Drosophila melanogaster: one gene and its partners. The protein of the gene in region 3 interacts with the protein of the main gene of each other region in a pairwise test. Each region holds a gene or a part of one and is shown on either strand. Other genes may lie near its edges. The genes, in order: Map60, CG32428, Hn and TfAP-2.

Evidence for each region.
Region 1: the proteins of Hn (region 3) and Map60 interact in a two-hybrid assay, tested with the Drosophila melanogaster proteins (one large-scale study listed by BioGRID).
Region 2: the proteins of Hn (region 3) and CG32428 interact in a two-hybrid assay, tested with the Drosophila melanogaster proteins (one large-scale study listed by BioGRID).
Region 4: the proteins of Hn (region 3) and TfAP-2 interact in a two-hybrid assay, tested with the Drosophila melanogaster proteins (one large-scale study listed by BioGRID).

Annotation. Positions count from the first base shown.
Region 1 is NT_033778.4:9,588,028-9,594,716, reverse strand, and holds Map60 (Microtubule-associated protein 60), read right to left. Parts: upstream 3,851-6,689; 5' UTR 3,689-3,850; coding exon 3,417-3,688; intron 3,353-3,416; coding exon 2,302-3,352; 3' UTR 1,973-2,301; downstream 1-1,972. Other genes in the region: CG1827 (uncharacterized protein), read right to left, coding at 4,333-5,401, 5,455-5,567; clos (closca), read left to right, coding at 1-87, 147-328, 955-1,727, 1,791-1,970, 5,912-6,326, 6,387-6,689.
Region 2 is NT_037436.4:20,467,878-20,476,584, reverse strand, and holds CG32428 (uncharacterized protein), read left to right. Parts: upstream 1-3,212; 5' UTR 3,213-3,610; coding exon 3,611-3,944; intron 3,945-5,436; coding exon 5,437-5,631; coding exon of another isoform or gene 5,632-5,690; exon of another isoform or gene 5,691-6,562; intron 6,563-6,600; coding exon 6,601-6,788; 3' UTR 6,789-6,911; downstream 6,912-8,707. Other genes in the region: isoQC (iso glutaminyl cyclase), read right to left, coding at 73-1,020, 1,942-2,058; CG5969 (uncharacterized protein), read right to left, coding at 2,308-2,553, 2,616-2,687; Tdh (L-threonine dehydrogenase), read right to left, coding at 7,135-7,453, 7,514-7,619, 8,125-8,272, 8,332-8,458, 8,617-8,707.
Region 3 is NT_037436.4:7,757,009-7,764,570, forward strand, and holds Hn (henna), read left to right. Parts: upstream 1-3,444; 5' UTR 3,445-3,618; coding exon 3,619-3,648; intron 3,649-3,975; exon of another isoform or gene 3,976-4,269; intron 4,270-4,358; exon of another isoform or gene 4,359-4,539; coding exon of another isoform or gene 4,540-4,554; coding exon 4,555-5,227; intron 5,228-5,285; coding exon 5,286-5,548; intron 5,549-5,613; coding exon 5,614-5,843; intron 5,844-5,903; coding exon 5,904-6,066; 3' UTR 6,067-6,158; downstream 6,159-7,562. Other genes in the region: CG32373 (uncharacterized protein), read left to right, coding at 102-171, 284-579, 645-756, 820-945, 1,023-1,613, 1,712-1,935, 2,001-2,042; Clk (clock), read right to left, coding at 7,205-7,562.
Region 4 is NT_037436.4:21,595,981-21,603,171, reverse strand, and holds the start of TfAP-2 (transcription factor AP-2), read right to left. Parts: upstream 4,317-7,191; 5' UTR 3,891-4,316; coding exon 3,834-3,890; intron 1-3,833.

The DNA of each region.
Region 1 (6,689 bases), on a different chromosome or scaffold from region 3:
GATCAGGTGTGGCTGGACAACGAGCAGATTGAGTTGAGAGAAATAAAACTGGAATCTGGGCAATTCGAAGGCCTGCTGGAATTCCAGGTGAGTGGGTATTGCACAGTAGAAACCTATGTTGTTTACAAGAACACCTTTCCCCATAGGGACCCATCAACGGGCACCAAGTGGATCATATAACTCACAACTACTTCAGCCGGACGCGTAGCAATCTGCTGAAAACTCCCCTGAGCTTCCAGCATGACGTCACGTTCGCACAGCCTCCAGTTGCCAAATACGTAAAACTACGACGTGGCAGCAGCGGCGTTTTAATGGAGGGCACCAGTAGGTAAGTGAAATTGACCAAATGATCAAGGGGCAGGGGGCAATGAACAGGGGTAAAGTTGGTATCACGTTTCACTTTCGCAATTGTTTACGCGCTAACAGTTTTAGAGTCACTGCATCCGCAGAAGTCAGCTGTGCATTCCGTTTGGCAGGTGAAATTTCTGTACACGTTTGTACGTAGCGCGGGGCGGGGGTTGCACTTAATTCGAACACTCGCAGGTGTGCTTAATTACCTTGTCAATTGGTCGCTGATTGGGTTTGGTTAAATGCACTTTTTACGGTCGGGCAGTTTCGGCAGAGCAGAGGTTTGTGATTTGAAACAACAAAAACGTCTTCGCTAGAATCCCAAACGCCTGGCAGCTGGGGATGGCAGAAGCATCGGTATATCGATGTTTTCACAACTATTATCGATCTCTACAATAATCGTTGAATTTAAATATAAATCGAATTTATAGAACTTGGGATTAAAAGATTAATTATAAATCATTTTCGGATCATAAATATAAGTACTACTCTATAAAACATTTTTTAAATTTATACATGGCTTTACTCTCGCCTGGAATTTTGTGAGGAATACCATGCTACCAAATGGTTAATACTATATTAAAATAAATCTTTTTCATTTCTTAGCAACTTCTCCCTAGATTTTGATGATTTTGTAACTCACTCGTTGAAAACAGCCGGCTCTCACGCTATAAGTGGATATTGGAAACTGCCTGAGGCCTTTATTTCGGGAAATCTAAACGATATTTACATAAATAATTTAAACCTTGCTAATGATGTCGTTAGAATGCCTCTTCAAAATGACAGTATCAATCTTCCCTTGATAGTCGAAGCATTGAAAACTGTCCAGGGCGGCACTATAAATCGTCTCCATACAACCCCTGAAAGCCAGGTGGCGGATGTGCCTGTGGCCAAGTGGATCCATGGAGCAGCCTACCTTTACGGGAACCACAGTATTTCTGGCATTACTCATCTGAATAATGTCAATCTCTACAACGATCTTACCGTGAACGGGTCTGTAAATGGTGTCCCCTGGCAGGCGGACAAGCTCATTTTGATGGACAATGAGCAGGATATACCGGGCTCCCTGCTGGTGGCGAATAGTCTTCCCGAACAGAAGCGAGTTATGAGCAATAATGTGAAGAATCTCTGGGTGGATTTCGTCAACGATCTGCCCGTTAACGAGTTACTGGTCAGCAAGGCAGAAAACCGTCCCAATCTTCACGTGGAAAGCCAACTGATCTTCACCCAGCCCCTCACTGTGGGTCACTACGAAGCGGGCAACGGAAATGGGCTGCTGGATAAATATTACAAGAAAAAGCGGGGTGTCGAATCGAATGACATTCATGATTGGCAGCAGCTGCAGGAAAATGTGGCAGCTATTAAAAACAGATTGGCCAGTATGTTAAAAACACATTAATACAAATTCTCCTTTAGTCATGTGCATTAAATTCAACCAACAGAGCCGCCTAAAGTGCTGGAAGGCTTTGCTGTGCTGCAGAAATTACCTCATAAGGCCTCGCACATGAAGATCATCTCCGTGGACAACGAGGACGTACTGGCCATCTGGGAGCAGATGCCCAGCGAAGTAGGGACTACTTACACATGGCAACCGGATATACATCTTTTTGGGCGAAGTTCAAGTAAGTTATGTAGATTTATTTGCATATAAACGTATTTTAAAATCAAGTAGCATATTCAACCTTAAATAGGGACAAATTCGAAATCTCAAATATTAGAAATACATTTTAAATTTAGCTTTAAAATTCATGCGTAAATGCTATGAACACTCATACCAGAACTGTGAGTAAATACATTTTACAAGTGGGCGGCACAGAACGCAGACGTTTGAACACGGAAAAAATAATACGATAAATACGAGAAATGGTTCAGACAGGCCTACTACATAACTACCTTTTTAGTTTGTCTAATAAGTAAGCTGAGTAATCATTTAAATTGCGAGTATCAGTCGGTCTACTGCTCCAGTTCGTCGCTCTGCACATCGAGGATGGCGCGCAAGATGGACAGCTCCAGCTTGGCGGAGGCACGCGAAGAGAGTCTGTTCATCACATTGGCCACGTACAGCCCGAGAGACTCGTGTCGCGACGAGTTGCATAGATTCTTGAAAAAGGTTGGCGGCAGCGAGTTGTCAAAGTTGCCCAGGTTGATAATCTCGGGTGTATTGGAGGAGGCGGCGTTGATCTTCGGCCCGAAGATAATGTCATTCTTAAAGTCCAGCTCGTCGATGTGTGGCGAAAAGCCGTTTGTGGAAGCCACCGAGGTGGAAGCAATGGTGGCGGCTGTCGATGAGTTCGCTCCCCCACCACCACCGTTTATCTGTTGTGCCGATGGAATGGTGATGATGTTGATACCCGGCGGTGGTGTCTGGTTGTCCTCACGCTCCTTCTTAACCTGCATCAGCTGGGCAGTGGTTGTGTGCACCACATTGTTTCCCGCCGGCAGTTGATCTGGAACGCTGGTGTGCACTGAAGTTGCGGCTGCCGATGAAGCGGCTTGTTTCGGGCTCGTGGTCTTGGTCTGCTTTTTTTGCGCCGATGACGAGGTGTACTCCTCCGAAAGTTTGCGCTTCAAAGAATCTGGCAGCTGAATGGTGGTGCGCGAGGAGCTTGATCTTTGCCCACTGGCTGGCGCCTGTTGCCCAATAGCCGGTTTCGGTGCTGCTGCGGAGCTGGGCGTCTTCTTCACAGTAATTCCCTTCTTTTGCAGTACTGCTGCGGCGGCGGACAGCGAGCTACTTCGCGGTGTGTTGTTAGCCAGTGTGTTGAGCAGCTTTTTCTCCTCGATGGCTGGGCGAGGAGTGTCGACGTTGGGTTTGGCGTACGCCAACCGCTCGTCCTTTTCTGGCGAACCGGTGCTGTGTGACTTTGTGGGGCTTTCGCCGTCGGAGGACGCCGAGCCGGTAGAGTTGGTGTGCTGTCCGTACTGATGGGCGTCATCCTCGTCCTCAGGCTCCTGCACCTCCAGCATTTCGTACTCCTCCACCTCCTCCATGGGTACTTGATCACTGCAGAATAGCAGTAGAAATTTTGTTAGTGTTTCACGGTTAGAGGACTATTTACGCCACTTACTTCTCCTCCTTGATTGAGATTTTAGGCTCCTGATGGATCTGATGCATCAGACTGAAGAGCTTCCACGCCGAATTGCCCTTTAGCTTTTCCTGCTCGTACTTCTTTTGGAGCACTATGAAGATGGAGCGCGATTCGTGCACAGAGAGCTTGTTGAGACGCCCGATCCTGGCCCACGCCTCCTCCTGCTCCTGCTTGCTGGCGCCGCCATTGTTTGGATGCAGCACCTTTTCTTTGGCGATGTCCTGCAGAATCTTGTCCAGTTGGATTGCCATCTTAGTCAGCGACTTGCGGCCCGCTGGTTGCGCGTTCCTGATAATTTTGGAGGCTGTTTTGATAACACGCGACACACGAATTGGTATATGTAACTAGGATCCGCTTGTTTTTCTCTCCGCTTTCGCACCGTTCGCTTCTCTTTTCTTCTGTATTTGGCGTCGGTAAATTGGCGGAAAATGTGACCGTGCAACACGCAAATACTAGAAATGCCGCCTTTTGGTACAGTAACTTAGGGATGAGGGAGATTTTGGCAACATAGATGTTCACAGTTCACAGCTCTCGATGCAGTGAAAATTAAATTTTTATATATTATATTTATCACTATAAATATTAATACTTGCATTATTTTTACTTATATAACAATTATAATGTTTCTCCATAAGGAAAAGTTATTCATTTTGGTAGTCATAACTATCGAAGGAATGGTTTTTGTTTTGTCTTTTTCTATTCTATTCTCATACTTTATTTATTTATTTTATGTAAGGATCCTTACATATCGATAATTCTTAATACCGCTAATTTACGGTAAAACTACCCGTCTATCTTGCTGCCGATAGGGACAAACAAATAACGCAATTTATATTGCAGATGAGAACTCCACGAAATTTAAATTTTATTGAAATACGTTACAGTTTTCGCCACCTCACAACGCCACGATATTTACTTTGTCCTGACCACCTATGCATTTGACCGTTTCCAAGCGCGTAGGCCCATCCGCTCCGGCTGGACTGCTAACCATAAAGGGGAATTCGGCCAGGCCGTAGCAGGCAGCGCCATAATTACCCAGCCGATCTACGGCGATGAGAGCACCCATGAAATCCTTGTGGTGCTTGAGAATGCGGCGAAGGCCCTCTTGAGCTGCCTCAGCCGGAGGTTTTCCCGCCCGCATGGTCTCCACCGCTAGCAGGGAGGGCAGGAAGCGCATCATCACATCTCCATCTCCGGTTGCCACGGCTGCACCCACCTCGTTGTCTGCATAAGCGCCAGCACCCGGAATGGGGGAGTCGCCGACCCGTCCGGGAATCTTGTGCCGCGCCCCGTTGGTGGAGGTGCCGGCGTGGATGTTGCTTTCCACGTCGATGGCGATCATGCCGATGGTATCGTGGTTCTTGCGTCCGATCTCATACTCATTGCGGGCACGGTCCTCCTTCCAGCGGGTCAGCGGAGTCGGCCGCGGCTTATACGGGCCGCAAGAGACCTTGGGATCCGGGTGAACGTTCTTCCAGAAGTTTGGCTGGCAGTTCTCAGCCGTCCACTGTAACCACATGTCCTTCGACTCCGGCGTGACCAGCGACTCTGATTCGAATCCCATAGCATTGGCGAAAGCTGACGCCGCATCACCCACCAGCATGGTGTGCTGCGTGTGTTCCAGAACATGCCGGGCTACCTTAATGGCATCCTTAATGCGTCGCAGACCAGCCACTGCCCCCACATCCATGGTGGCCCCGTCCATGACCATGGCATCCAGTGTGGTTTCGCCCAACTCGTCCGGCGATCCGCCATAGCCCACCGTTCGGTCACACTGGAGTTTCTCACACTTCGAGCAGCCCTCCACTACCGCATTCCGCGTCTGCCGGAGTCCACCCTTGCTTTGCTTCAGGATTCGCCAGGCGAGCACATTGGCAGCCGTGAAGTTCCAAGTGTTAATGACCATGGGCAGCAGCTCACCCGTCGTCTTATTCGCCTTCACGGCAGTGGTGCCAGCTTTTCCACTGCAAAGGGGCGGATCTTAGCGAACAAAGAATACGCTGTATGCGCTGCTCACCTAAACGCCGAAGTCAGCGTTGGTTTGGGCGAAGTATTTACTGCCGCAAGGATGGAAAACGCCATGGTGGCCAAACAAAGGATCCAAAGACTTGCCCGCAAGTGCCTTCTCATGGTTAATCGTAATGGTCTCTACGAGAAGTCTTGGTGTATCACAATCTGTCCCTGTTCTGCCGGAAAATGGTCGAGTTCTGCTTTTAAATGCTAGCAGTCTAACCTCACTGTTTTGCTTTCTTATCTGTTGTTTTGATATACCCTCTAAAAGAGTCGTACACATTTTCAAATTGGTTTAAGCAATATTTTAAAACTTGAAAATGTTTCAACATAGATTAAGATATAGGCAAAAAACCACCTATTAATATCGATAAAGTCCTATCCGTATAGCCTATATTTGGAGTGGAATTATAGGAAGAGTATTCCACGGACACATCTATAAAACACTGCTTTCCTTTTTGTAGGCACAGCACTGACACAACTAAACAAGACAAACTTGAATCCAATCAATGAGGAGGCACAGAACCCGCAGAAACTGCAATTCAGATCATATGGATTTCAGTGCCGGGCACTTCAAGAGGAGAACCAGATAGTAATCCGATGCCTAGATGAGCAGAACAACAGCAGGGAAGCAATCTTGCCCAGGCGGGCCGTAAAACAGTTGTTGCCGGTCGCTGATTCAGATGATATGACCATTCTACTTCGTACTCCCAGAGCGGTGGAGCTTTGGAAGTGGAGTAATGGCAATTACTCTCTATCAAGCAGGCTGATAGATGGGCAGGTGGAGCAAATGGCTCTTAGTCAAGGAGGTGCTGGCATAGAGAGCGGATATGTGGCGCTGATGGCTTCATCGCCAGCAGCAGAGATTCGGATTTACAGGTAGATATTCATAAGCACTTCACGCATAGGGCATTTACAAGGATTTCACTCGTTTTGCAGCTTCGGCAGCCCAGACACGAGCAGCTTCCAACTGGACCAAGTCCTGGAGCTCGAGGACTCCCAACAGTCGCGGGTAATGCGCTTTATGCACCTGCCCGAGTCCGACGATCTACTGCTCTGTGTGTCCAACGTACTGCCGCAGCAACCGCTTCGCATCTACCAGCACCGCGGAGCAGCGGGATTCCAGCAAATCCTCGGCGACAGCGCCTTGCCAAAGGCTCATGCCCTGGAGGTGCTCTATCTGCCCAGCCATAAGCTGCGACTGCTGTCCATGGCCACGGAGGAGTCGGTCTACTTGCTGCA
Region 2 (8,707 bases), about 13 Mb from region 3:
ACAGGTCAATTAGATAAGGCCTGAAGTAGATACAACATTTGTCATTTGTGATTCACACGGAAGCCCACTTGACTACTTGGCCTCGGTTCCGGCCAGCAGATACTCCAAAGCGAAGAGCCGTATAATCAGTGCCAGGTTGTCCGTCGTCGCATAATCGATCACGCTGGCGTTATCGTCGGGCGTATGCCATACACTGGGAAAGGGCACCGGAATGAGGTGCAAGATCGGCACATTTCGCCGCAGGAAGGGTATGTGATCGTCCTCGATGAAAGAGGATCGCATGGCCTGCGACTGGAAGTAGCGGGTGGGGTCGCGCTGGGCAACTCCACTGCTGGCATAGCGCTCCAGGAGCTGCAACTTGGCAAGACGTGTCTCCACGGACTGGATACGCATGTACCAGGACTCGGTGTTTTCGAAGAAGCTGTAGAATGCCGGATCGGGGGCTCCCAACAGATCCAGGAGCACCAGCATATCTATTCTATCAAGTTTTCCTTCATGGTGCCACTTTTTGGCCAGGTGTCGTGCTCCATAGATGGAGTCCTTGGGTCCCCACTCCTCAAAAGCCTCCTCGCCATCGAAGAACAAGAGCATCAAACTCAGTTTGCTCTTCTTGAGGGGTTTCAACTGCTCCTGAAGCACCTGGGCCAGGTTGAGGAGCATGGCACAGGGCACTGCCGAGTCGGTGGCCCCCAGGAATTCCACTCCAGGCATGTATTTGCTATCATAATGGCAGGACAGCACCAGATATCTCTCAGCATTTGGATTCAGGGTGGCGATGATGTTGTGGAAATGCAATTTGCCTTTGATGGGAGCGTGATCATGAAAGCTGTTTACTTCCACATCCCAGTCTAGATCCCTCAAACTCTGGACGATGTATTCGCGAACGATGCTATGATTTGTTGTGCCCACAACTCGAGGTATAAGGATTTTGTCAATGGCTTCCCTTAGGTGTAGCTTATCGGATAGATTGCTGTACTCCAGGAATCGGGGCTCGGAGAGCTCGCTGGGATTGTAGGATATCTGTTTGAATTAAAAGAAAGCACATATTAAGCAGGCGGTTGGTTTAGCTGCATTACCCTCCATTGACCTGTGTTCTTCCTACGAGATTATCCTTCTGGGAAGTGGATCCCCTCACCAAGGTGGCTATCAAAGCTGTCTGCACGCACAGCGTCCACATTCTAGCTGTTCGATGTAGCATATTTAACCGACTGACTTAAGACTACGTGGCTGAGTGTTTTTGTTCGGCGGTGGGAGTGTTGTGTCCCAACAGGTGGTTGCAATCAATAGCGGCAGGTTCGTAAGAAGTTTAAAGATTGGTCATCCGGCTGCGCAACTATTTTGCGGCACACTCCGGCTTGTACTTAAGACCCTTTGGCGAGTCTATTAAATTATCATTTTGGCCAGTTTTTACGGCCGACTTGTAAGGCACAAAATAACAAAAATGGGCGTCGCAAAGGGGGTCAAAATGCTAACGAAAATAACACTGTCTATAGGTAACGCTCGTTGTGGGTGTCTATTTGTTTCCCATCAGTAATTTATTGCACTCCTCTCAAAAATCATTTAATTTCCTTGTTTACTAATTCAACCAAAATCGTTTTGTTTACGCGTATTATTTAAACAGCTGCTTGCCATTTGTATCAGGTGGCAGCACCAGTCCCGAACAGGTGGCACCCCCATAAAAACAGGTCACGGGCGTGTCTAGATTTAATGAGCAGGGGTCTTAAGCAATGGTTACACGAAATATTCAGTTCACTAGCCATTCTCTTCTTACAAAATAATAAAATGACTAATTTGTGCTTCAATCAAAAAGAAAACATATAATATAAAATTCAAAAACATAAAATTAATTTATCAATATAATAAAATCCCCGAAGTCAGTATACTTTATACAGAACTCCCCTTTCAAGCAGAGAGTACAAATAAATGTATGTTTTAGTTAACCTTAGGAATATCCACCAGTTCGAAGCAAGCGCCTAGATTGTAGATTTTTTTGCGCGGTCTCGGCAGCAATCTTTTGACGGCCTCCATTAGGGAATAATTTCTGAGTAGCAGACGCATTTCACTTATGCATGTATATTTTTAATACAAATTATGCACACAGAACACTACACAACACAACACGTTTTCCACGCTGTTATCGAAACTTATGCAATGAAAAGCGATTACACACGGTTTACAGGCGACTTTCTCCTCCCTCGCTGGCATGTAAACAATTGTATCTATATATGTAGCATGTATGTATGTACAAGAGTGCTCTACCGACTTAAAGTTAATGGAAATAGGGTAACAGTCCGGGGTAGATGAGGATTAGTCCGTTTTGGAGCCCTTGGAACCGGGTGCCCCAAAGTAGGCCCTGTATATATAGAGTCCCAGGGCGATGTGCAATGCAACGACCGCTCCCACGGCGGATGCTATGTTCACTTTGACTTCGGAAATGTCGAGGAACTGGTCCAGAACGAAGCCCTTCAGCACAAAGAAGGTCAGCACGGGCAGGAAAACGATAAGCATGCAGTAGAAGAGCACTGTCTTGAAGGAGCTGTAGTCCTGCGAGTCCTGGGCATCCAAAATAAACAAGGGATTAGCTAGCCGGCAATCGGAGCCGTCATGTTACATACGTGCGACTGCTGGCGGGTTTGTTTCGGCGCAACTCCGTTGCCTCCGGCGGCTTTCTTGTTCTTGGTCGACATCTTTTCAGTTAAATAGAATGCAGCTTAATTGAAAAATCAGCAATTTCTCTCAATTTCTAGTTTTGCTTTGGTCTGCCATTCGGTTATCAGAAATATTTGACAAATCACAAATCACATGATAAAGTGGTAGTACCGTGCCAGCATTCAAAATATACCAGAAAATACTGCGACTAGTCGATTAATCGTTGGTATCGTTGCTATCGAAATATTTTCAACTAAATTCTCATTTTTTAATTCATTTTAATTGAGTAAAAAGTTAAAATTATATCAAAATAAAAGAGAAGTATTGAAGCTATTTCTTTAGGTATACAAAATGAAGTGTCATATTTGTTCAAGTAACATATTGTACGCTGTTTCGCGATTTTCGATAATTATAAATATAAATATATATAAATTATAAGTTTCCATGACTTCCAATGAGATTCATAAGATCTGCACTATTTTTGCAACCACAGCTGTCTTTTCGCAACTTCTTCGGTATTTTTCTCCAGGGTCGCACGCCTTATTGCGACACCAGCAGTGTGGTCACACTGGAGCGAAAGGAAAACAAAAGAGCAATCGTGAATCGAAAGGCGCACGCGGCAAAATGTAAAACTTGCTTATTGGTTTATTTTTAACAGTTGCCGTCACCGCATTTACAGTCGCATTTCGGCCGAATGCTCGCGCGCCCCGCTTGCGTGTGTTAATTGAATTATTTCATCCATTTTAGCAACTGCTGCGTATTTTCGGCGCTTATTAAGCCGACAGAGCCATCAAAATCCATACTGCATACAAATACGATTTCAATTAGGGGAAAAATACGCGCCTGCAGTTCGCCGCACGATTTCGTACAGTACAGTACGGACGCAGAGGAGCGTTTTTTCCGAATTTACTGTACTTGCTTTTCGGTTTTTTTGGGGAAATTCCACTGCAGCTGGCGCGCGATGGTTTTGACGAACTTCGAGTGCTGGGCACATGGTGATCCGTCGTCGTCGGCGGCCGCCACTTTCGAAACTGGAGCGCTGCGTCCTTCGATGGATCCGTTCAATCCACGCGCCGTCACCTTCATGACCGACGCCAACAACAACAACAACAACAATGATGGCAATAACCTCGCGGCACAACCGATGCCGGTCGTCCTGCCTCCGGAAGTCCTGCGCTGCAAGAAGCGCCTGAATCCCGGTCACAATCCTGTCGGGGATTTGGACACGGACCAACCGGTGTACACCAAGAGATGTCGCTACGACGAGTCTGACTTGGCCGCCCAGTACTGCAATGGTGAGTATCGCTGCTCAAAAATGCAAGCTTAGTTATTTAATTATTAAATTGTTTAAGGCAGTTTTATATTAGGCTTACTTAGCAATTGCACATGCAATAATTCCAATAAATAAATTTGTTGTCGAGCAGCCTTTAAATATTAAATATCCTCATTAGTTTCAGAAAACACTCAGAAATATATTATTATGTTATACTCAATCCTTTAAGAGTAATGGTTGCATTTTTTAGTGTCTCAAACCATTTTGAACTTAAATTTAACACTTGCAATGAAATTCAAATTATACTTGAACCAAATATGATATTAATTTAACTTTAAATGAGTATTGAAGGCATTTTTGTTGGTATGAATTTAAAAACCGGAACACACCAGACGACTTAAGCTGTAATTTTGTTTATAATCTCTCGACCTTGGCTCTTATGCCCGCGCATTTAATTGGTGTTGCGTGAAAGTGTCGTAAAACTTGTAAATTTACACAATTATCTCTGACCTTGCGGCCCCATTTCTTCTCCCATTGGCTCTCCCAGCGACCTGTGTTATCACTGTTCAGTTATTCGGTGGGATCCGGACTATCTGTGGCATACAGAGGGTACCGGACTCGAAACGATAGCACTTGACAGCCGCTTAAATTTAGCAAAGAAAAACCGGCTTGACTCAGTCTTTATAGACATACATATGCATATATGTATATCGGTGTGTTTGGCCTACTAAACAAAACACACAAGTAGTGGGGATTAACTGGAGGTACTGCGGAGATGACTATGTACACTGGGTCAACAGAGTGTTACGATTCTTCTTACACCGCCAGTTTAATCAATCTGCATTCGCAAAAGTGTTCCAACAATAGAAGAAAACAAAGGGGGAAGGCAGTGTGGGCGTAAATATATACAGCCGGTAAAAGAAATGTGTATATCTGCGGGAGTGAATCAATAATCTATACTCTTTCTGAGGGTATAAACGCTTCTTAAATGTTTTTAAGTGATTTCAATGATATGTACGAATATTTCATTTAGTTTTGTCCACGATTTACTTAAATATATATCTCAATTTTTTTGATCTATATTAATATTTTTAAAAGGGGTACAAAATAATAGAAATACAATTTTAAATGTTTTCTATTGGAATAAATATACATATGTATTTTTGCAACTATGACTACACTTAATTAGTTGTTGTTAATCTGTGCACTCCGTTTTGCCTTCGTTACCTTATAGTTTCCGATTGCGTTGATAAGGTTATCAGCACAAACAAAAAGCAGAAAAAAAGAAACTAACTCGTAGATAAGAAATGACAACACACTGCTCTGCTCCGAATTGGTTATAAATAAACGATCGGTAATTGGGCCAAGCATCGATAGTGTCAACGTGTTGCGTTGCATTGCCGTTGCACTGAGAAAAATCGGAATAGACTTCAGTTTGTACATACAATTATAATAAATTGTAAATTATTTTATATAAGTTAATGTAACTTAATGATCGGTTTATTGCCTTGCAGATTTCTTTTCCTTGCCTGCCACACAAATAATTGGAACGCAGGCCTCTTTGATGGATTACGAGATGCAGGCCACCGGCGGCATGATGATGATGGAATCGGAGACGAGTTTTCCAGCGCAGCAGCAGCAACATCAAGAGCAACAGCAACATCCACAGCAGCCACATCAATATCAGCGCATTCATCAGCATTATCAAGGTCATTTGCATCGCGCCAACCGTGATGTGAGTCGTTGCATGATGTCGCACATGATTTAGGGGCCCTCGTTCACACAAAACTCAAAATGTACATATATAACCCAAAACATGTACTGTAGCTGAGAAAAGCGCACAAGAAACACATGCAACAGTTCACCGAGCGACGCGTCTCTCTTTATTTGCTAAACAGCCGACAATGTATCGAAAAATGTTCGCATATCACTCAGAAAGCAAATTAACGCAAAGGAGCAATTGAATTGAAAATATCCGCAATGCACATACCTACCATATACCAAAAATTCAAATTTTGTAAAAAAAAAAAACAATCAGCTAACGACTCAGCCAATAAGTATTCTGTATAAATTGTTAAACTCACGAACTATTGTACAAACAACAGCTAAGTCGAACATCGAACATAAACTGTACTTAACTACCTAAAGAATTGAAATACGTAATTAATTTCAAAAAGTAATAGTTAGACCTGCGAAACATTGCAATCACAAAAAAGCAAGCAATATATGTTAAGTGAAATGTTCAATCAGCCTGGAGCGATTGCTGGGAGCCTTCACAAAGTGAATTTAATATGTGAAGTTGGCTGATACGCAACCATAGTCGTAAATTTATTTCTAAGGTATACTTTACCATTAGTTCAAATCGTTATCAACATATGCTTTAGGTATATTGATGACTTAGTAGCTTAAGACCGCGGTGAGTGCTTATATCTTTTGTATCAATTTTTACACTCACATATATTTGCAATAAACTTAACAGCTACCACCGATCTTTATATAAATTCTGTTATACTTAAATTTTTTTTATATACTTTATTTTTTCTATTTTATTCGAAGTTTAAGTTAATGAAGTCAGCCAACTTTTAAAGAGCACTTTGTGGAAGATCCAAACAGCAAACGCGAAAGGCCAAGTTAGTGACCCAAATTGATAGACAAATCTCCAATCTGCTCGTTTACAGAATCCGCAGAGCAACGAGTGCCGTCCCCGCAGCAAAAGTCAAGAAAATCTAATAATTCTATTGGGAAAATCAAATTAAAGTCCATAGGCAGCGAAGCCGAAGCGGACTTGTATATAGCCACACACGGCGGCAGTCTGCACCACTTTTGTGGGCTCGGCGGATCGGAGCTAGAGGAGTCTGATATATGATAAAGTAACTCCGAGCAAGAATTGTACATCCTAGCCTAAGTTGTAATATAAGCTGTCGCAAACTAAAGGTGCTTACCAATAGTATTTGAGTTCGAATAAACCAAAAGCTATCGTGCGAAACTCACATCAATAATCGAAAGTATTTCCATGTGCTGAAGAACTTTAAGATCACAATTCTTCAAGATGAAATGAACCAATAGTTTTCCTTTCCAATAAATGCCTTACTGTATTTTAAAAGGTAAAATGTTACAGTGGTTTGTGTTGCTATTCACTAGATAAATGCAGTGTTAAATGCGATTGGATTTCATTACTTAGCAATACTAGATGCGGTTGTTCGATCCACGTCTTAGATCTGCAGAGTCTGCTGCTCCGGCTGAACATTAATGTAGTTATCCTGCACGTCCTTGATCATGAAGTCCACCAGGTTGGACAGGTCGTACTTGTGCTGCCAGTGCCAGTCGCGCCGCGCATCGGAGTCATCGAATACCTGCGGCCAGGCGTCTGCGATCAACTGGCGGCTATCTGGCTTGTAGGTCACGTGCAGATTGGGCACGTGCTTGCCCAGCTGGGCGAACAGCTCCTCGGGAGTGAAGGACATGGCGGTCACGTTGTAGACGCGGCGCTTCAGCTGTTCGTTGGGAGCACGCATGAACTCGAGGAGAGCCCTAGTTAGATGGGTCATTAGTAACAAAGAAATAGTTTGTTACAATGCACTTATTACTCACCGCAAACAATCTTCAATGTACATCATGGGCAGTCTTGTGTCAGGACGCAGGTAGCAGGTGTACTTTCCATTGCGCAGCGCTTCATGGAACACGGCCACAGCGTAATCTAAAAGTTGAAACAAATAACAAATGTGAAATGTTAAAGCAGGACTTGTTTTTGGTACATTATAAATTTGTATAAAGCTGCAGAAATGATTCGATTCACGGTGCGTATACGTGATTTCATAAGAATGCAATGGCATTAAAACAAATTAGCTTTCCCCAAAGTGTAATAAGCATTATTATTCCATTCATGAGTGAAAGCAATGCAGAGTAGTTGAGACTTAGACAATCTTTAAGTTAATCAGTTCAATCAAAGATAAGTTAATATGGGTCACCAGGTTTGCGGCTCCCCAACAAAACCCTCTGCATTTTGTACGAATTATGGCCATTGTCATGCTCTTTGATTATCATAAACTATCTTCAATTGGAGCATTTATGATACGAAATTGGATTAAATAAAGCTTGAAGTGCGCTCGACGACATGACTTCAGCGGGAAGAGTATCTCGCAGATATTTCCACGCAGATTGATGTGCTTGAGTCTCCACAGAAATGTACGGTGCTTAAATACCTGTGGTGCCGCCGCCCGGCGGATCACTGGAAATCACTCCTGGGAAGCGCAGGCATCTGAAGTCCAGTCCAAACTTGTGGTAGTAGTATTCGCCAATCAGCTCGGCGTGCACCTTGGAAACGCCGTAAATGGTGCGCGGCCGTTGGATCTGCGGAAATGGGTCCTCAGTATCGAACAAACTTCTGGCTTTGAAAGTGGTGGACCTACCGTAACATTCGGCGTGGGATTGCGAGGACTGTCGGGACCGAAGGCTCCGATTGTGCTTGGTACGAAGATGCGGAGCTTATACTGCTTCGCCAGCTCGATGACGTTGTGGACACCCTCGATGTTGACCCTGCGATGGAGGATTCATATTACTTACGATTAAAATGGCACAAGAGTCATTATGCAATAGTTACGTGGGAGTAGTTACTTGACTTTAGTTACTTGGAAAGGAATGTAGGATAGGGTTTGCTATAATGATTGCAACTAGAGATAACTAAGATATCCTACCTCACAGCCAGTGGAACATTTTGCTCTCCCACCGCACTCAGCAGGGCCGAGAAATGGATCAGCCAGTCAATGCGATGGTCCACAACGATCT
Region 3 (7,562 bases):
CAAGCGCCTCAATGGGAGACACTTGATTAAACAAAACGTTTACTTTCGGCTGATGTTTTCTTAAGTAATCCAATCATGAACATGTTTATATAATTATTGAAATGGTGCAAAACAGAATGTCGACATCAGTGATTGTTTTGTACGCGCTTATGTGTATCGCATTTTCCACAGGTATGTTGTGAATCCATTATAACATAACCATAAGTAAGAAAAATTTCTATTATATACAATTATTTATTTATTTATTTGAATTACATTGATTTTTAATGCATTAATTTTACAGCTTCGTTAAATGATATTCCCGAAATCACCCCCGCAATAGATAACAATTTATCTTTTCAATACGACGATACCTGCTGGACTCCTCCGAGGATTAAAAATGCTAAGGCATCCGTCAAACTTCGCCGAAATGGGGAACATGTCTTTCTTGTGACCTATTATTCCTGCCGCGTCAACTACAAACTCAAACGTGCCAAAGATAATGCACTCTATTGCTCAAATGGTATATGGCTTGGTTTGAAACCCAATTGCATAAAGATTGGTAAAGGAAACACGCATTCAATGAAGCAAAAAAAAATGGTAATGATTTTTTGGAAACTGATCTCTTGATCATAAGATACATTTATAAGTCGTCTTTATTGTAGAGATGCAGGATTGATAATGGTGGTTGCGCTCATATATGTAACAGATCAACTCATAAATGCGAATGCTATGAGGGTTATACACTGAATTCCACCGATTTAAGAAGCTGTAATGGTAGGTACACATTTTTTAATCAATATATCCTTAAGATACACTAAGCTTTATCTTCTGTTTCAGATATCGACGAGTGCAAGGAATCGAATGGCGGCTGCTCTCAAGTTTGCAACAACCTTCCTGGTGAATTCATATGCACCTGTAATAGTGGTTTTGAAATAGACGAAAGTGATGAAAAAACTTGCTTGGGTAAGTACTAAAAAAATTATGTCGAAATCTATAAGCAAAACAAAAAAATACCTATAAATTTACTTACCACCTTCTAGACATTGATGAGTGCGCTGATCCCGAACTATCGTGGGACTGTACGGCTGGATGTAAAAACCTAAATGGAACATACAAATGCCTTCCGTCACTGGTGGGCAGAGTTGAGCCCACCGACGGCGATGGTTTCTCCCCGGGTGAAATAGTGTGCAAGTCCGGATTCAAGCTGTCCGACGATGGCAGTGAGTGTCAGGACATTAACGAATGCGATTTGGCGGATATTGATTCAGATTCTTGGCGAATGACTTACCGTTACTGTGAGCACAAATGCGAGAATACGGTAGGTTCCTATATCTGCCATTGCCCCCAAGGATATCATCTACTCGATGATCAAAATAGTTGTATTTTGGATGGCTCCAAATTACCGCCATCGAAAGACGCGCCTGTCAGTCAGGAAGCACCAAGAAAGGATATATGCCCTTTGTTTAAGGGACCAGCCAACGGAAAGGCTTCTTGCGATAAGTATCTCCAAAATGGCTTCAACTACACTCGTTGCAATATTACCTGCAACGCGGGTTATATCATGCAGGGCTCACAATTTGCGGTTTGTGGACACACCGGACTTTGGTCTAGTCCAGAAGCCAAGTGCGTGGGTAAGTACACATCAATGTACAATGTACAAACAATTTAAGTTAGTGCTATAGGATTTTATAAGACACATTATGTATTTGCTATTGCATCCTATTTCTAGAATCCCTCGCATTGAGTTGTCCAGTTTTGACACCCCCTCGCAATGGACGTTTCTATCCTGCAAGCTGCAATAATGAACCATCCAAATCACTCGCGATTTGTGAACTGTTATGTGATCGAGGCTATTTGCCCAGAATGGACACACAGCTCATTTGTGCGGCACCATGGGGCTGGATCCAAAGAAGATGGCAGGACAATGTGCCACAATATGTGTTTCAGCAATCAGTAAGACTGAGTAACCTAACTATAACACATATTTACATTTTACCTTTACGCATTTAATTTTTTAGGTGAAACAGGACGAGGGCTGCGTGAAGATCGCTCCGCCTTAACCGGATTCCACAAAGCCGTTAATTTATTTTAACATATAAAACGACAAAAAAAATAAAAATAAATTTAACCTACACTCCTGCACTGAAGCGTGCATTGATTTTGTATTGACTATCAGTCTTGGTGTGTAAAAATCAATGAAGATGTAAAACTTTTGACATGTAGAACAGATGTTTAATATTCTCCGCTGAAGACAAATCTTGTAAGCAAACGGTACAGATAGGGCTTGCTTGTTTTTCGGATGTTTAAGCATCGTCATCATAGATCACTCCCATTTCGTCTTGATTTTGGAGTGTATTGAAAGTGGATTATCAATTCGGTCTACATAAAATATTAGCCTTAATACCCTCATTGTCTTCAAAAATGACCTGATTTCTTTGCCTACTTTTGGGCCTAAATCAATGCTTTTTAGGATTGACAAAAAACATATCTAAAAATAGAAATAAGAATATTGAAACATTTTATGTCGGAAGTAAAGACATGGTATAGATATGGTTTATTGCTTTAGCTTTTGTAAGCTCTTGTAATATTACATCAGCTTAAATTTCGGGGTTATCTGTTGACGTGCTTATACCGAGTGAACTCTGAACTTGAAACAATAATAAACCTACTCATAGATTAACAATTACAAGTGGGTACCACAATGTAAGTCACCTAGACTTAAGGAAAGCGTATTACCATTTAAAAGACAAAATCCGACAAAAAGTTCGGGTGAGTGTAACGATTGGACTAATTGATTCCAGTCAATCTGATGTGGACCGCAAGTATAAAAAAAAAACCAAGAGTAGCGCGTGCCAGGCCCACTTGGAGCTATTCACTACTGAAATAATTGCCCTGAAATGCCGTTGAACTCGTTTGGTTAGAACCTGTCATTAGAAAAACACAGCCCAGATTATTCAGTATGATTTTTTGCAAAACAAAGCAAATCTAAAACTAGCTGAAATAATGTTTTGTTAATTTGGACCCCAGCAGAGGGGCGAGTCTTAGCTGATAATATTTCCAAAATACAGTGGAACATGCGAAAAGGAAGTGCTTTGGGTTCTTCAAAAGTAAGAAAACATTGTTTACGATATTATATTTTATCTATAGAAAACTGTGCCTAAGTTCCAGGAACACAGATCTATAACATTCAAAACTGGTTTTTCGAATCAGGCGTTCCTTTTTTTCGTATTTTGAATTATGGATGCTAGACTGTATTTAAGCCTCAACATTTAGATTTGATCGGCTAGACGACGGCTTCTGTAATGAAGCTGAATACTGAAATGGGATTTTAGGCCCATCGAGACACTGGGCACTGATAACCCCGCAGCCGCAGAGCCATAGCCGCGATTGGATCGCATGTGGATGCCGTTCCAAGATCATTTACTCGCCCGATTGCCCGCGATATTATTTGTATTTTTTACTGGTTTCAGTTCGGATTGATTTTCGTTTGGGCTCAGCTATGGGGCCTATCGAAAAGTCTATTTAAGCGCGCGATTCATAGAGAAATTAAATCAGTTTTAATTCGTTTGCTGAACGGATCGTTCGCCATCGGTTTTATTGTACTTATCAGTGGAGAAACCCGAGAATCTTGTGAAAATGTACCAGCGGCAGGTCTCCTTTGATAAGGTTTGTTGCTTCGGCGAGAGTCCTCTGTGCACCCGGTATAGAAAGTGATCCGTAAAATAGCTAATAAATTAAAAACAATAACAAGTTTATTATTCTGCGTTCTCAGCATGAACTTGTCCAACCTTTGAGGAAAAAAAATTCAAATAAAATATAATTTTATTATTTTGATTGAAATGAGAATGCGGATCTATAATGTATAAAACCTGTCATGGAATTGGGTTAGTTCGCAATAGTTCTAGACAAAGGAAAACAGAGTGGTGTCTGGGACTCCTAGTGGTTTATTTTATTTTCGCTCCTAAACAAGTAGTTTATTAATGTGTTTTGTAGAGTAAAACCTGAATTAAGACGTCAGGCGCATATATTGGAAGTAGAAACAGTACAGCTTAATAAGATGTCATATAAATACATTAAGAACAAATAATTCAGCCCTGTTAGAGGACCTTGTTATGGCTCAAGATCTTGCAAAGTATACTACTTGGGAGACCTTCCCACAGATACAGCACACCAAGTTCTAGGCCGAGTCCTTGGCAATATGCGCTGATTGCCATTGCGGTCGGACCTAAACCTTCAATATGGGGGTTCAAGCCAAAACACAAACAATCTCAATGATGCAGATCTGAGGCAAGTACTACAATTACAGTTCGTTGGCTCATATAAGGCTTCGGTTAAATGATTATGCGATTTGGGCCCTGGTAGCCTCTGTAATAGGAGATTTGCTGATAGACATTGCATAGTCATAAGAGCAGAGAAATATTATCTATATTAAATAGTTTGGCTTGACTGCTCGTTTAGCCCAGGTCACTCGGAGTCAATCTGTCAAATTTCCAATGATGCAATGGCTGTTTTCCCAAACAGCAAAAATATAAACCGTAAATATTTTTTAAATTACCAATGAATTTATTACAGCCAACGCGCGTAGAGGATTCGGCTTACATAGTCGAGGGTGTAGATATTAAGGAGGCCAGGAACACCTGTCTTCTGTTTTCGCCCAAGGATTCGTCGTTGTCCAGCGGAGCTTTGGCCAACATTTTGGCCATCTTCAAGAAGCATGACATAAACCTGGTGCATATTGAGTCGCGTTCCTCGCTGCGTGTTCCCGGTTATGAGTTTTTCGTGGAGGCCGATGGAAAATCGGGAGCCTTGGGAAAAGCCATCGAGGATGTGAAGGAGCAGTGTAGCTACTTTAACATCATTTCGCGTGACTACAAGGATAATGCCACGGCTGTGCCCTGGTTCCCGCGGCGTATACGCGATCTGGATCGTTTCGCCAATCAGATTCTGAGCTACGGATCGGAGCTGGATGCCGATCATCCTGGTTTTACCGATCCGGAATACCGCAAGCGTCGCAAGTACTTCGCCGACATTGCCTACAACTACAAGCATGGCGAGCCCTTGCCCCATGTGGATTACACCAAGGAGGAGATCGAGACCTGGGGCATTATCTTCAGGAATCTTACGAAGCTGTATAAGACACATGCCTGTCGCGAGTACAACCACGTCTTTCCCTTGCTGGTGGACAACTGTGGATTCCGAGAGGATAACATTCCCCAGCTGGAGGATGTGTCCAACTTTTTGAGGGGTTAGTTCGATTACTGCCCATTAGATAGAATTCGTAACATTAAATTGCTGCACTTCAGATTGCACAGGTTTCACTCTGCGTCCAGTGGCTGGACTACTCAGCTCTCGGGATTTCCTGGCTGGACTGGCCTTCCGCGTCTTCCACTCCACTCAGTATATCCGACATCCCAGCAAGCCCATGTACACACCGGAACCAGATGTCTGCCACGAGCTGATGGGCCACGTGCCGCTTTTTGCAGATCCAGCTTTTGCCCAATTCAGTCAGGAGATCGGGCTAGCTTCCCTGGGAGCACCCGATGATTACATTGAGAAATTGTCCACCGTAAGTGGCTCTTTGCTCTAGGCTAACAAAGGATAACTGTGTGATGCGTGAATTCTTTCTTTCAGATCTTCTGGTTCACTGTTGAGTACGGCGTGTGCCGCCAGGAGGGTGAGTTGAAGGCGTACGGAGCTGGTCTGCTGTCCTCCTACGGGGAACTGGAGTATTGCCTCACGGACAAGCCGCAGCTGAAGGACTTTGAGCCGGAGGTCACTGGCGTCACCAAGTATCCCATTACTCAGTTCCAGCCTCTGTACTATGTGGCCGATAGTTTCGAAACCGCCAAGGAGAAGACCATGTAAGTTACTAGGCCTAAACATATCTAACGAAAGTGTTAAATAACTTGAATTACTTTTAGTAAATTTGCGAACTCGATTCCCCGACCCTTTGGTGTTCGCTACAATGCCTATACTCAGAGTGTTGAGGTTCTCGACTCGAAGCCCCAGATTTCGAATCTGATGGACAACATTAACTCCGAGTTCCAGATTCTTCAGAATGCCGTTGCCAAGCTGCGCGTCTGAGTAGAATTCATATACATTTTTTACTCCCTCTCTTTACTTACTATTAAGAATGAATCAAATAATAAATAACATGCAATTATGTAAGTTTTTGTAACTGTTTTTTGTTTTGCTTTATTACAACTCTGTATCGATAATGTTCTGGTTTTTTTTTTTGGTTTGGTTAGCATGTTCAATTACATTTTGTTGTTAAGCTCTTTTGAAAAACATATAAACAGTTATGTACAAAATGGGTCTACATTATCCTCATCGTATTTACAGGCTTAAGCAAGTTCTAACGACTCGTCCTATAGGTATGTACAAATCTTAAACATTGAGCTAACTAAAATTATTAAGGTAGTTGTAGTTGAGTTTAAGATAGTTTGTTTCCATTTACAAGTTCTAAGTTTAAAGCATTTGGCTCTTTATCAGCTGCAGATCGAAGCATATTCGAACGAACTTTTCCAACAGTAAAATGGTAATGCAGGGGAAATTGTAATAATGATTGAACTAATGGCATTTCAGCTGTCAGAAAAGATCGGGCCTAAAGAAAACTTATGGGAATATCTTCACAGCAAAATAAATGTCAGTTGCAATCTCAACCTGAGTTATGAGTTATACATACATAATAACACTAAATCGTACGATAAATATCATTTTTGACCTCAATGACGAAGCCCAGTCTTGAAAATAATATGGAATTGAATTAGCTTTGCTCAACTCGTTTGCTTGTTAGTCGCTTCTCAGTATATTAGAATACAAATAACTTAGGATTAGGTTTTAAGGTTCGATTTCGTATCAGAGATCCTTGTTTGCGCCTCGATGGCACTTACTGGATAAGGCTAACCTATGGAAACGATGGGTTCTTGCTACAAACTACAACAATTTAGAACCTACTTACAATGGATTTTTTTTTTTTGAGACCTTTTCTATAGTACACCTATGTTTATGTTATATACAACGCATAATGGGAGCGGGGTGGGACAATACTCAGTCTGTTGAGATCTACAACTAGCTCTGGGCTTCCGATAGATGAGGTTCGATAAAGAGAGCCAGAGGCCAAACTTGATAATACACGGATATGTGGTTATATGGGTTGCCTGGAGTTATACAATTCTATCTTTTCCTATCGCTACAGAGTGTTATATACAGTGGGTATACGCTATTGACTACTGCCTGGGGCTGTGTGTGGCGAGTTGAATAGATTCTGTGATTGCTCTTGGGACATCTGGTATGGCAATATTTCCAGATCGTTTGGCAATTGGTTTTGATTCTGATTCTGACTGTTGAGAAAGGGATTCGAACTGAAGAAGCTATTTGACTGCTGTTGATGCTGCTGCAGGATTTGTTGTTGTTGCTGCTGCTGCTGTTGCTGCTGCACCAGATTGCTGCCGGAAGTGTGCATCATCTTGTTGTCCTCGCTCTGCGTTTCGGAGCCATCATCGCTGATGCCCATGTGAAAGTTGATCGAAGGACTCGATTCGGTGGCCATCTGCATGCAGGACAACAGCGAGTCCTCG
Region 4 (7,191 bases), about 14 Mb from region 3:
ACATATGGTCTGCACTGGCCATCCGCGAACCGGCAGTACAGTGGGTCCCTAAGCCGCGCTCGTTTCCAATTAGATTACACACTCGTTCGACGTCCGGTGCTGTCATTTATTGGAACTGCAAGTTGGAACTGTCGGAAGAGCTATAAATTAAACGAATTTAAGAGGAAGCTTCGCTCCAAACGCTGCATATAATATTCATAACAACAATGGAAATGTTCAGCGGACGATAATCGATTTCTGCTTATTACGATTCTTGCAGGTACTCCTGCCCTGCTCGTCCTCCTCCTCCTCCTGGCTGCGCACGCGCTCCAATCCGCAGAGCTGGAGCTCGGCTGGATCCTCAGTCTCTTCCTTCGGCTCGAGCTCCAGCTCCAGCTCCTTGGCCCTCAAATGCGCGGAAGAGCGGAGGAGCCCTTAATGAAGTAGTAAAACCCATTCATAAATGTATTAAACCTGCTGGGTATTTGCGGAGCCTGCTCGGCCAAAATCGAAAAGCTGCGTCCCATCTTCTAGCGTGCAGATGACGAATAGAAGAACGACGAGCCGAAAGTGCCCACTTGGCGACCATGCATGTGCACTGCGAGAAAAGGTCGAGAGTGTTGTAAGAGAACCACTTTGTTTATGGGCTGCTGTATAGTATGCAAATTATACGATATGTTACATGAATCTCCGTATATAGTATTCACTACTAATTATACATAGGACTAAGGTTACTTCGTTCTGCAAATTGAAATATGACCATGCGATAAACTTACATATATGTATTGCTTTTTAATACTATATTATACTATTATAAGATAAACAAGAAATATTGGAAACTATGATTACAAGAACTCCACATGCACTGGCATTGTGATCTCCTTTTGAGCTCCTCACAACCCAATGATTCTCCCTGTGTAGCTTCTTCCGAACTCGACTGAGCTAAGCTCGGCTCGTCCGTTTGCAATCTGCGTCCAAAGGGCCGGCTTTCGATGCAGCAGCCTCGTGAGCCAACTGCAGGTCTGGCCTCCCCATCCTCCACATTCTGCCTCCGAGGAGGCAAGGCCAACGCATGTCGGCCAACCGATGATTTCGCTCTTGCCTTGGCTTTTGGCATCGGACGAGGATGTGGATGTGGTGCTTTGCACGGCTTTGGTTTTGGTTTTGGTTTGCCACGAGCCTAACACACGCCGTCCACATCGTCGAGGTTCCGACACTTGATTCTGGATTGTGCTGAGGATCTTGGCCACGTTATGAACATTTACATTTATCTTGCCAATCAATTTGGTTTTGTTTGGACTTTTTAATTTCCTCTCCGCAAATGAAATCAATTTTGATGCGTGCATATGCAATTCCAGTTTCCTCCGAGGATGTATCTGCATGTCTGTGGAAGCGGAAATGCCTTCCAGCGGATGCAAAGGACTCGGAATTATCTCGCCCGCACTGGCGAAATAATAAATATGATATGCGAATATGCAAATATGAACACGGATCGGTCTTACACTCTGATCCTATCGAAATTGTTTCATTCATCTTATTGCGAGTTTCCTCTAGTTCCATTTATATAATTTACTTTTAATCAAGACTATAGTATTCCTGCATCTGGAAGTGGGGGAAAGTTTAATGGCGCTTATTCATTTCTTTATGCAATCCCTAGCCCTGCGCACAATTACCATACCAACATGCCTCGCAATCCTACAAAGTGCACATTGTAAATTGGAACAATTATTCTAAATTATAAAGAAATTATTCAATAAATCATAAGGGAAGCCATCAATCAGGCTTTGAGCCCGAACCTCTTGGATGAAACGGAGTTTGGCTAATAAATAAGCCCAATGCTGAATACTTTTTGATATTTGGGAGCTGGGCTATGGGAACTTTTCTGCCAGTCTGTATGGCATTCTTTTTTTAGTTGGCGATCGCACGCAAATTGACGATGCGTTGCGCTTCAATCTCATAAATTATTTTGGCAACGCATCACGCGAGTGTCCCAGTGGGATCTTACCTGATTTGGGAGTCTTCGGAGTGCCAGGGACAGGTCCAGGACCAGTACCAGGACCAGCCAAACCAAACCAAACCAAAACCAAAGCTAATGCCAACACACTCGACATGCCCACTTTGCTGGCGGGACTCGGATTTTTGTGGGCGATGACTTTTGGTCTACCTCTTCGCTGTGTTTTTGTTTTGATCTTTGGCCCTTGCCCCGCAAATTGCCCTATTTTTTTATCGGGCATCGAAAAAGTTCTTGGAAGCAAGAACACCATATAATTTCGCTAATTAAATGGGGGAGCGTGTACCCACGCATTTCAAGAATTCCTCCATATTCGCATTTGAATTTTGACCACTGACGTCTGATCACTCCCACCGCCGTCACTTTTTGCTCTCTGCCTCGAAATCGTGAGTGCATTAAATGTAGGACCTTTTTTACTTTCAGATACGGTTTCCCTCCCATAACGCACATATTTGAAACAGCCAAACCGCTTAATTTGAGGCTTATGTCTGATGATACAAATACTAATACTAAGAGTACAAATCTTATAGAGACTTTAATCGAAATAACATAGAAAGCATAACATGGCTTTCTCTCTTGGATTTACATTTACAGTTATAGATATTATAAACGATCAAAGACTGTAAATATTGTACGATAAATTTGTATATGAAATTTAAAAGAAGATTAAAAAGATTTCAAGAATCATTACTCTAAAAACAGTGGACTTCATACACATACATATACATATGCTAGCTACAGTTTTAAGGTTCGTCTTTCCGACGGCTACTTTTGCCGTCTTAAAAAATAAATGATTCCAAATTGCCCGTTCAAAAAACAGAATAAAATTAAAAATGAGTGCAACTAACATTGCATCCTTTAAGGGTATGTTTCTCAATTACAAGTAAATAAAATAAGTTAACAGACCCATTGGCTTTTTCAATAAGATTTTATATTCTTTAGTCTTGTCGCCCTATAATATTTGAATAGAGAATTGCATTTAGTAAAGAGTTTTCAGCCCAAGAAAACCTATAAGGATACTGGGAAACTAAAATTAATACTTTGATACTGATCGAACATTACCTAATCTGAATACGAATATGCACATTTGATTTCGATTTGGTCCATTTGTGTCCAATGCATCTCGACTAGGATAACAAAAAAAGCAAACTGACTTCTTGAATGTCTGATTACCATAAACAAACACCGTTTGTATTCAGGTTTTAGATCCTGACTTTAATAAAATTTTTAAATAGACTCCTTGAGGTTTAAGACTGCCTACTTTAAAAAGTCAATTTAAATTTGAAGATGCATTTTCAAGGTTTAAGACCTCTAATTACAAGAGAATTGCATGCGCCTGTGATCGCAGTCTGCTTTCGGGGCCCCACACCCTCTTGGGCACTTGAGTGATCCCCGGACTCTTGGAGTGGGCACAATCAGGTTGAAGTTTATGTACTTATTATTCCCAGAGCAGAGTGTGCCACACGGAGTCGCAGGAGAACCCATTACTGTAAATTGCTCATTGATTTTGCTGCTAGAATGGCCCGGAATGGTAATCAGCTTGTGTGTGAATGTGAATCACGGGCGCAGATCTCTCGGTCCGGATCGCTGGCCAATGGTCGTAATTGGCCAATGGTTTTAAGGCTTGCGTGCCCCAAAATGCCCAAAGAAATTTCAGTGTCAATCAAGCTCGTCCGCCCATGGGCACTCGATGGTTCAATATCTTTGAGTATTTTGAGTAGCTAAAGCTGCGCCGATGCTCGGGCGGGGATTAGCCTGGGCAGATTTCGGCTGACAGACAATTTGGATAGATAGACCCGACCCTCCTCCGATCGAAGTATCCTGCAAAAGGCGCGCAGCTTACCATCATGAACTTCTGATCCTCGAACTGATGGTCGTTGGTGCGGTGTAGAATGTGCATGTTGATCCAAATTAGACGGCGATATCAACTAGTTGGAGAGCATAGGTTTTCTTTTGAACACTTGGGCCAGGGCCAATGCAAAACAGGTACGATCACTAAATAAGTATTTATTGAAAATCGATTTTTGGCACTGGTTAAGGCAACTGTGGGTGCTGGAGCTAGAGTTCCGTATCCGCCGCTATATACACTGCACTCTCCCCGATTGAAGGACAATAGACGTGATTTAATTGTATTTGAACTAATTTGCAGTTCGGATCCACGATCGTTTCGGTTCGGCTAGGTGCGGATCGGTTCGGAACGGAACGGAGCGGTTTCGGTACGGTTTTGGTTCGGTACGGTTCGGTTTGGTTTGGTTTGGTTAATTAAGCGAGGACCCGCAATCGAAATTCCGCCTTTGCGCAGCCACCAGACGTAGTTCTCGACTGAAGTTGGATTTTCTGGTTGGACGCAAAAACCTTCGGGGGATGTGCGATGTTGCCGCTGCTGCTGCGGCGGCGGCTGCTGCTGCTGCTGCTGCAGATGCTGCTGCTGCCGCGGCTGCTGCCGTTTTTTCTCCCATACAGCTGCGAAATACATAGGAAAAGTGCCCAAAGCCTATGCCCGTGCGCCGCGCGTCTGTATGGGTGTGAGGCGCACACAGATACGCCGGGCAAGCAGGTTTTCTGGCTTTCGGGCATCGAAGAGCGGCTTCCGAAGAGAGCCCGCCGCCCAAAGAGAGCACAGCCATTTATATTTCGGAAGCCACGCCCCGCCAGCGGACTACTAGACAATGGGCCGAGCCCGAAAACCGAAAACCCAGAGGCTGCGGCAGGCAGCGCAGCTCGCGTACAGACACACAGATGCGGATACACAGCCACACTGCCAGATGCGGATGCTCGCGAGATGCGAGTGCGATACGGATACGAATACGAATACATAGGGGTGGAATCGCATGCGAATGGCCGGGGTTGGCGACGCACCCGTGCCCCGAGGGTTGCTGGATCTCTGAGCCCGGGCTGCTACTGGGAAAACCCCGGCATTGGACGCCCAAATCGCCAGTGGTACGTGCTCCGGGTTCTTTCTTCTCTCGGGGATTAAGCGACCCACCTATGTATGTATGTATCTACGTACTTATCGAACGTTCGGGGGTTGCCATGTGAAAGAGGCTGTCCGCCCGATTTACATATTCTACATAAAAATCTACCCATATATGTAAGGGCGTGAGTGTGGGTCCTTGCTCGCCATAATCAAAACAAACTGAAAATAGCAGATTTTTATTTTTTCTATGGCTGTAGCTTTCGAACATTTGAGGGTAAAATTTTTGTAAACGATTAAACAAACGGAAAATCAACAGCAGGCCACTTCGCATGCTTAAAGATTTCTAATTTACAAATTCCCTTTTATATATAACACGATAGAGGAACTTAGGACAATTAAAGCACTCTTTAAAATTAAAGGTTCACTATAAACAAACTATTTTGGCTTGCCAATGAACTTATAACAAGCAAACTTCTTACTTGTGTCCCGCTTTAATAACCTTTATCTAAATAGTATAGTTAGTTTTACAACGATTATAATTAAAAAAATCGAAACAAATCAGAAAATTAATTTAAGGACAGGTGCTTCACAACTTCAAATCAGGAACACTATTATGTTTCACTAACTTCAGAGCTATAGAAGTTACCCATTCTGATGTTTTTTAAAATTAAATATTGATAGTTAACTAATTAGTCAATTATTTGTTAGATTTTTATAAGTACTTCATGAAACAATTATAATAATAACAAAAGTCAACGACTTTTCATATGCGAAGCCATAAAAATATAGTAATAGAGATGAAAATAAGGAAAAATTTTGGATGGCAAGAAAATCGATTATATGATATTGTTAAGGCATCGAAATACTTTTTGCAAACTTTAGTTCATTACTCAAACTCATGAATATAGCAATAAGGTAATGAAACATACTGAAAATTCTTATTCGTCAATATTGTTTTGTGTCAAACTATCCAAAAATATGGACTTTGCAAAAAAAGTTTAATCAATTAACATAAAATACAACCATTGCCACCGTTTAGACCAGCAGACCTTTTTATAAGTTACATGTGTTAGTAGGCCATAGAAATCAACAAAGTTGGTTAAAGTGTGAAAGTTGGGTTAAAAAGGCGCTGACTTAGATAAGTCTTGAGCACCAGGAATAAATCTTTAGTATCAACGTGGTGTTCTGTATGAATCTCCATCATTTGAATTCCTTGTTCTATTAACCACGCTGAAAAGCTGAAAGTAAGCGTCGCAATCCTCAAGAGACATTCATTTCATTTATTCCTGCTTTGTTTTCAGGTTACACAATTAGATCCGCCAGTAAGCGGGACAAGGATTAGCGGCTGTGGAAAATTGAATCACTCGGCGGATTGCCCAACCCGAGCTTTGAATGTTTGTCCGCCCCAATTGAATTATGCCATTAGCTTTCTAAGTGACTCAAATGGATTCGGGCTCCTATCTTCTGTTGCCAGGGGAGCAGAGCAAAGTTCAGCCGAGAAAGAAGGAGCGAAGCTCGGAGGAAAAGTATATCGGGCACGCAGTCATTAAGTCCGAATTTGTGGCAGGGCGAAATGAGATGTGAAACCGTGATCTCGCCGACTGCACATGCACATTATGTACGCGGAGCCACTCACGAAGCCACCTCGGAGGAGCTGGCCAAACAGTAAATTTCGTGGAGTGGAGTGCAGTGGAGTGGAAGCGGCGATCAGGTGCATTATCCAATTGCGGCGGTGGAATGCCGGACGACCCACCTCCATTTCAGCGATTTCATTGCGGCGGCACGACTTTTGATTGCGGCCACGACAAGAGAACGATCGATCGATCCATCCATCCATCGATCGATCGATCGATGATCGGTCCGCCATTTTCAGACCCGATTCGGATGCCGAGGCAAAGCCAAAACCGATACTGATACGGATACTGATACTGATGCACTGCTCGCATTACCAATTAATTCCCAGTCCTCCCCGCAGCACCGGGCATAAATCGTGATGCACAGTGGTCCGTGTGCCCATGGTAAATGCACCCAAGTACACCTCTGTGCAACTACCAACTACCGACCCGCACACCTACACCATTGCAGCCACAATTACATCCACGTCCTCATCCACATCCACATCCCAACCCATACCAGTGCACTCCCGAAAATGGCAGCTTTCTTTGAGCCAGTCATAAGCTGGCTCTTAACCGGGAGGCTCCTAACCCAAGAGCCGAGGAGCTGGGGATCGCAACTGCCCAAGAGTGGAGGACTCGGCCTGAGCACCTCATTTAAGATGCGTCTT